2 linked regions of the Macaca mulatta genome follow. The protein of the gene in region 1 interacts with the protein of each later gene in a biochemical or structural test. Links are inferred from orthologs where the notes say so. Each region holds a gene or a part of one and is shown in the gene's direction. Other genes may lie near its edges.

Evidence for each region.
Region 2: the proteins of DMD (region 1) and DTNA form a complex in vitro, tested with the Homo sapiens proteins (3 studies listed by BioGRID and IntAct, with this or other methods). The link is inferred for Macaca mulatta from reciprocal best matches to the Homo sapiens genes DMD and DTNA.

The regions. Positions count from the first base shown.
Region 1 is NC_133426.1:33,158,784-33,163,249, reverse strand, and holds the start of DMD (dystrophin), read left to right. Parts: upstream 1-1,350; 5' UTR 1,351-1,586; coding exon 1,587-1,617; intron 1,618-4,466. UniProt on the Homo sapiens protein: Anchors the extracellular matrix to the cytoskeleton via F-actin. Ligand for dystroglycan.
Region 2 is NC_133423.1:57,583,714-57,587,542, reverse strand, and holds part of DTNA (dystrobrevin alpha), read left to right. Parts: intron 1-911; coding exon 912-1,080; intron 1,081-3,402; coding exon 3,403-3,535; intron 3,536-3,829. UniProt on the Homo sapiens protein: May be involved in the formation and stability of synapses as well as being involved in the clustering of nicotinic acetylcholine receptors.

The DNA.
Region 1 (4,466 bases):
CTTAGAGCCAAATCAGCCCCACAACAATTGTTTTCATTTTTTTATGTTGTTTTATGAAAATTTTGCTTATATGCATATTTAGACAACCACACAGAGGAAAGGAGGTGACCTAGGGAAAAGAATGTTTTCAATTAAAATTAAGCCTTATGTTTTATCTCATACACATTTTGCTGGGGAAAATAGCCATGTTATGACAATAATATTCTAAAACGCAAAATGTATAATTAACTATTAAGGTAAACATCACAGTCTGACTCTATAATTTTTTTTTATTTTTGTCTATTACTCATTTCAGTCGCAAGCAGTTGAATGTTTGACATAGAAAAATGAGTCTGTCACTTTAACAAATGGTACAATAAAAACACTCAAACAAAAATTTTAGTAGGGATTATTATAACTATAAAAAGAATATCTTTCTTTAAAAAATGCTACCAATGTTTTCTATCAATTTGGGGCTCGCCTGTTGCATAAAAGTAATAAGGAACAAGATGAAGAAGACTTCTATTGGCAAAGAATGATTTACATGCTGAATGACATAATACAACTGCATTCACTTAATACAGAAAAAAAAGAGCCTGCATTCAGAACCATTAAATGATCATTAACTCAATGTCTAAGAAAATGGTGTTTTAAGAATTGGCAGCAGAGAAATGGAAGAAAGAATAATTTGTTAGTAAAGAAGTTTTATCATAATTCACAACTGAAATTTAGGATTTGAGAAAAATGTCTTTGCTCCATTATAAGAATATTCTTTATTTTAGCAGGAAAACATGTCCCATGAGACCTACACACACATTCTGCCTTCAGAATTCAGCTGCTGTGTTCTGCTGCTGCTTCTCTTATTCAGACTGTTGGCATCATCAATACATGACTTTTGCAATCAAAAATCTCAAGGGGAAAAAATAACTTTGGTAGGCAGTGGATACATAACAAATGCATAGATTATTCTGGGCATTTCTTTTTATTTGGTAGAGTGAAATTTTTGGTGTTGTTGAGAGGATAAAAAAGGCATTTAAAAGTCAATTTTAAATCGGGATTTTCTGCTCTGTTATAAATTCACATGAAAGTTACAGAAAATATTGTTATGGTTTTGTACTGAATAGTTTTTGTGTTTGGAAGGCTTTAAAAGCTAGTACTATGTCCACTGTGCTATTCTGGTTTGGATATTAATCAGAACACAGTTGAGCTTATTTGAATTCACAGAGCTTGCCATGCTGGAAGCACAACCTTATATGTAGTGACCATGGACAGTCCTATTATGGGAAACCAACTTGAGAGAGAAGGCGGGTCACTTGCTTGTGCGCAGGTCCTGGAATTTGAAATATCCAGGGGCCTCTACAGAATCCTGGCATCAGTTACTGTGTTGACTCACTCAGTGTTGGGATCACTCACTTTCCCCCTACGGGACTCAGATCTTAGAGGCAATTACCTTCAGAGAAAAATGAATAGGAAAAACTGAAGTGTTATTTTTTTAAAGCTGCTGAAGTTTGTTGGTTTCTCATTGTTTTTAAGCCTACTGGAGCAATAAAGTTTGAAGAACCTTTACCAGGTTTTTTTAATCGCTGCCTTGATATACACTTTTCAAAATGCTTTGGTGGGAAGAAGTAGAGGACTGTTGTAAGTACAAAGTAACTAAAAATGTATTTTACTGTGGCATAATGTTTAGTTTGTGACAAACTCACTAATTAGGTAGATTGATTTTAAATTATCACAGTAGTTTGCAAAGAAGCATAAATGTTATATATACTGCATATATATATGTATTTATTCAGGAATATATATTTTTCATTGGGAAAACTTTTCAATAGAAATTGAGTTTATAAGTTTTTCTTTGCAGAAGAATTAAACACATGATTTCTTGATTAATAAGCCACTGCAGTAATAGAATATGCAGAATGTCATTTGATTATAACATATTATTTTGATTGCTGTGAGATAGTTTGTATATCTCAGTTATTATTTTGACTAGTTGATACTTCTGTATTTAGTAACAGTTACATAAAGGTTACTGACCTGACATATATTCTCAATTGAACTAACTACTGTATAGGAACTACATGGAGGCCTAAAAGTTAGGAGAAGTTTCTCTGACATATGGAGAAAATAAAGAATAAAATGAGTTGGGATGGAAAATTGAAGGATGTGAAAAGTATTGATAAAGATTTAATTGTAATGTTGCTTTCTCACATTTACTATTTCAAATGCTCTTTTCTATAGCATACCATGATGATTATTTCAAATAATGATGTGATCTATGCTATCAAATGATCAGATGATCTCTTGGGAAAACAACATACAAACTTGAGGAACTCCTAATTATGTTTAGTAGTAAATTATATTTAGTAGATGTTTCAAGTCTATCATGAGCTAGCTTTTCAGTTCAATTTTTTGTTTGTCTTCCATATAGAAATGCAACTATTTTGTTTATTTTTAAGAAAGTCATGATGACTATTGAAGGATTTAAAAATGGACTGTGGCACAACAGTAAAATAATATATGATAAGGACTGTGTGTCCCAAAAAGATGGGAGTTTATCTCTTCCCCACCTATCTTTGACTTGTGGAGTATAGTTATTCTAAAATAGATATGAGAGCGATGCCTATAATTAAGAATGAAAAAATAAGTCTCTCCAAATAAGTAATGCTCCACAACTACTAAAAAAAAAAAAAAAAAAAAAAAAGGCAGACGTTTTACCACTGTGAAAAATTTGTGGAAATAAGTTAACATTGTCCATGTATTGAGTCACATTAAAAGCTACCAGATTTTATAATACAACATTTAGTTACATTGTTTGCTTGCTTCATAAATTTCTTTTGGTGAGTATCATTATTGCTTTTAGATTGAAAAACTATTATATTTACTATCATTACAAAAATATGCATGGCATATATCTGTTGTTTGCAATATACACATATACACATATTTTTATTTATCATTTTTATTTCTTTGATATATGTAATATAAATACTATCAAAATCGCTAGTGATTTTATATATATATATATATTCTATATAATTAACCACATATACCAGTATATAGAGCAATTTTGAAAGAATATATGCAATTCTGCTGGAATGAAGCAAGGTAAACCTATCCTCTGCTTTGTCGTAGATAGTTGAAAAACTTTCAGTTCTTCGAATGTGAAGGAAGGTAATCTTTTTGGAACATGTCCTGTAGGATTTTTTCACACTGCATTTAAAAAATCATCAAGTAATGCCTATGCAACATGACAATGAGTTTGTTAAGGAAAATGGAGATATACTCAGGGCTATATTATACATTAAATTTTGTTGCTTGACAATATACTACTATTTGGATGTCTGACATTTGAATCTGGTTTGTAAATTCGCCTTAGTTTGAAAAACTTACAAAAGTACATTTTGTTTTTTAAACAGAATAGTTACTCTGTAAAAGAGATCACTGTATTGTCAAACACATTGTATTGTTTACTTTTAGAATTACTCAAATAATGCATTGTAAAGAATTATTCAAATAGTGTATGGCAAATAGATATTTCATTTGAATATATTTAAATGATGTAAGTCATCTTGAGGTCTAACAAAATCATCTTTTAGAATTTCATTTGCAGAATCTTTTAAAGACATCTTAACTATGAAAAAGAGATCGCTGATCTAAATTGATAATATACTGTTAATACAAAGTTTTGGTATATCTTACATGGCATAACATTATGAAAAATACAACAGAGTATGTCATATAGATGTTATTCTAAACTTTAAAAAAGACTACAAAGTGTTTTATGCATAATTACATTATTTAAGGGGAAATAGGTGTTGGTTGACACTTCTAGCTAGACAGTACTGAATTGCAAATTCATCATTTGGGCAGAGATATTAATACAGCTTCCTCTTTATTCCTATAGCATTCATTTGAAATCCCTGTACTCCACGTCATTTGCTATATATGAAACAAATTGTCAAGTTTTTAACCACTTGTGTAGTTTAATAAAAGAGATTAAAATCATTGCCTTGGAAACATCAGGTGTTTTTCAAAATTCTATTTTATTATCTTTCATCAAAATTTTATCTCAAGAGTAAAACAAACTGATTTCCCAAACTTTCCTTCTCCTCCCACTTTCTATTGTAATATTTTCCTAACTTATTAAAAATGATTTATCATACTCTTTCATCAATTTATTCTTTATTTCATCACACATATGAGAAATACAATATTTTGGTATGCGTATATATGTTTATATATACGCACATTGATATGCATTCAAATCACAGGGTATTAAGTTTCCTAAGAGGGTCTAATTAGAAATTAACCTTGAAAGATAATTTTCTGTTCATTTTTCTAAATTTTCTATTTTAAACACACATCAGTTTTTAAGGAATTCACAAATGAGACTAATGTACGTTAACTGTCTCACAACACAGAACAAACCTGGAAGAAAGGATTTATGGGGCCTGAGGTTATACAATTGGGGGTGCTATTTTAAGAAA
Region 2 (3,829 bases), on another chromosome or scaffold:
TCAAATTGAAATTTACCTTTGCAATATCTCTGAAGATAGATCTGCCCAGAAATAAATGCATAAAATTTAAGGAGACTTTTTATCCTCCTAATACTACAAAGAGTGTTCAAAACTTTAGCAGTATGAATATGCAAATAAATATCCTACCAGTTACTAATGCATCTCCGTCTATTCCTTAAGGCCGACCTAGCAAGAGATTTGTCTGGCAAGACTATGGTCTTATGGTAGAGATTACAACAGCTATAAGAAATAAAACTTCAGTATTAAAAAAATCCTGGACTTAACTTTCTTAAAGCCTCTCAATTGAAAATTGTTGCTACTAATTTAAATTAAGATTACCAAACAGAATTAAATGATAGTAGTTAATACATCATGATTAATGGCAGGTAGCCACGCCCCTAGCAAATGATGAGTATGAAGTTATCCTTGGTGTAGCAGTCTTAAGCACTGTTAGTTTATACCCATAATTCTTTAAAGTATTAAGTGATAGGGTTCACTTCATATTTTAAGTTCATATTTGAGGCATTTTAGGTGAATACTTTATGGTTAGGTTTAGGTTTTAACTCATATTTCTTAAATTAGTGTAATATTAAGCAAAAGTAACAATTTTAGTTAAGTCTCTTACAGAAGGGAAAAACCAGAAGTTTTAAAAAGTTAAGTCAGTTACTAAGATGGCAAAAATTCCTCATAACATTTCTGAGATTTAAAAAATGCTGTATACCAACTGATTTTGTAGTAATTCACATCAATATCAATTCGTATTTTGAAAAAATAAAAATGTACTTGATTAAAATATGATAACTGGTTAACATTTTACACAGCACAGGTTGATTTGTTAAGCCTACTCCCTTATTTGCAGGTCATAAAAAATCTAACAAGTCACTCTTTATTTCTTCAATTGTATCTGCTAGAGGTTGGGAGTGAAACAGAGAGTAATGTGGATTCTGAATTTGCACGGACTCAGTTTGAGGATCTTGTTCCCTCACCAACCTCTGAAAAGGCTTTTCTAGCGCAAATCCATGCTCGAAAACCTGGGTATATTCACAGTGGAGCTACCACAAGTACCATGCGTGGCGACATGTGAGTATCTTCCGCTTGGAGGCATTTTCTCAGTAACAAAACAATCCGTAGGAGGCAATAAGAAAGTAAAAGCATAATTGTTTAGGGTTTTTTTTTAACCTTCAAAAGGGGTGACATAGTTTTCTTTTCTGCCAGAGATACAGAATGGTGCTACATATAAATTCGGCATTGTAATATCTCCCCTCTTACAATTTCCAGAGAGTTATCAATAACCTAAACCAACCAGTGCCTATCAAGAGCCTGCCTTGCCCAAGGCACAGTGCTAGTTCTATACAAAATAGTATTAAAAAACTGCTGCCACCCTTTTAGGACTCAGACTACTTCAGGAGATAAATCATCCTATCTTCTGAACTTATTGTATTTGCACTTAGAGGATACCATGACATTGGAGAGGTCTCTGTTCAGAATTGGTGTAAACAACATCATATAAGTATTTGGAATTGAAATAAGTACATGTATAAAATCTCATTATAAAGAAATCCAGTTTGGTTGACTTGTTGAATATGTATACATCTGACCCTCTAAAGACTTATTTGCGAAAGTTTCCACCCAGTTCTGGAGCTTGTCAGAAACCAGCAGCATCAGTGACGTCCTGTGACCACTAGACTTTCTGTGACCCTGGATCAGCTCAAAGTAGTCAGCAGAGAAAACCAAAGCTGAGAAACAAAGGCAAAGCTGGGACAGAGCTGCAGAGCCCAACTTGGGAGGGAAAGGAGGAAAACAAAAGAAGGGAAGAAAGTGGCCCGTTAGGAGACCATGGTTCGTGGAGTTACGGGAAACGTGGGCACAAGCTGGGGGAGGGAGCGTCTGAACGCTAAAAATACTACAGAAGGGTGGTGTTGCTTAATACGAAAAGTACTTCAGACTAGTGTATAAAAATAAACTGGCCATGTTAAAGACTCAGAGAAGAAACTAACCTGAGGCCTTTCTGGTGTCTGGCTCCCAATCCCAGCAGTGAATAAACAATCAGTAATCATGGAGAATTATCAAGAGCTGTGGTCTGAGAGTCAGCTGTGAAGCAGCAGAGAATAGGATCAAAACAAAACCATTATAATGGGACTTAACATGGCAGTACGCTGCTGCTTAATAGAGTTTGCTTTCTTGTCCTTTCTTCTGTATTCTAGAATTGTTGGATTTGTTATTCAAAATAGTGAATTAGTTGTCATCTGTTTTGTCTGGTAAATGCGTATCTATTTGACTTTTTATTATTAAGCATTTATATGGCAGTTAGCTAGAATTTCCTTGTCCCAATTCTAAAGGCCAAGGCTGTTGGGGCCACCCTAATCTTCTAGCCCTGGTACGCTGAGTGGCAGTACCAGCTACCAACATGTGAGTCAGGAGTTAGGGAAGGAAAGTTAACAGAGGCCTAGGCAGACCCATTTAGGCTGGCCCCAAACCTCCAAAAATAACCAGAACAAGTTGTACAGCTATAAATAAACATGAACAACGACGTTCAAGTTCCAGCCTAGAAACTTCTTCTTGACCACTTATTTCATTTTAGGGAATAATTTAATATCTCTATTGTCTAAACATGTCCTTGTGTCTTACCCTGAGAATCCTTTAGTCCTCTGATTTAGGTAGCAAGCTTACGTCCAGCCCCATGAAGAGCTTTGCATAGTCTAGGATGAATAGATGGAGACAGAGTCCCACATCAGGGAATGAAGTCATTTTTAACTATTTATTTCAGAGTGGAATTGGATAATTAAAATGCTTTTTTTTTTTTCATATTTAGAGCTAAGATCAAGAGTTATGGGTTAGTAGCCCTCCTGGCATCGACTAGCTGATGTTCTTAGACTTAATTCTGTAAAAATAAGGCATGAATGTGGTGTGCATTCATATGTGTATGTGCATGTGTGGGTAACACAAAAGAGACTAAATTAAAACCAAATGTCCTTAAGCATTACTTCACTAGAGGGCTCACTCTCCATACAGAAAGTGATCTTGGGTTCTATTTTGAAGAAGAATAAAAAGAGCCCTCTGATTGGGAAAACTTTGTATCCCCTCAAAAGATGTTTGCCATTTTTTAAATTATAGAACATTTAAAGGGCCAACCCATTTCAGTAAACCCTAGGAAAAAAAGAGATGACCTATGACCACAACTGCCATAAAAAAATTGTGTATGAAAATACCTTGATCATATATTGCTTCCAACCTCCAAAATGTTTCCAAGTTTTTCTTTAGGTATTACTAAAGAAGACATGAAAGTGACTTGGAGAACTAAGGAGAAATAAAGGTGCCAATAAACTACAGCTCACACACGAATCCCACTTGTAATTCTCTTTTAAGATTCACTCTAAAATGTCATCTGTGGTTTCTTCTCAGGGTTACGGAGGATGCAGATCCCTATGTGCGGCCTGAGGATGAAAACTACGAAAATGACTCTGTCCGGCAGCTGGAGAATGAGCTCAAGATGGAGGAATACCTGAAACAGAAGCTGCAGGATGAAGCCTATCAGGTACCGGGATCCACGCCCACCCACCCCACCTCTTCTGCCTCAGCCCCTTGGTAGCTGGGTCTTTGACATGACTTGCAGAATCAGGGCCTTCTCCTTCCTTCCACCCTCTCTTTCCAAAATATGCTGATTTTACTCCTTAATCCATGTCTTCTAGACAGTACAAATATTAAATGCTTCTTTTTTTTTTTTTTTTTTTTTGAGACAGAGTTTCACTCTGTCACCCAGGCTGGAGTGCAGTGGTGTGATCTTTGCTCACTGCAACCTCTGCCTCCCTGGTTTAAGCAATTCTCCTGC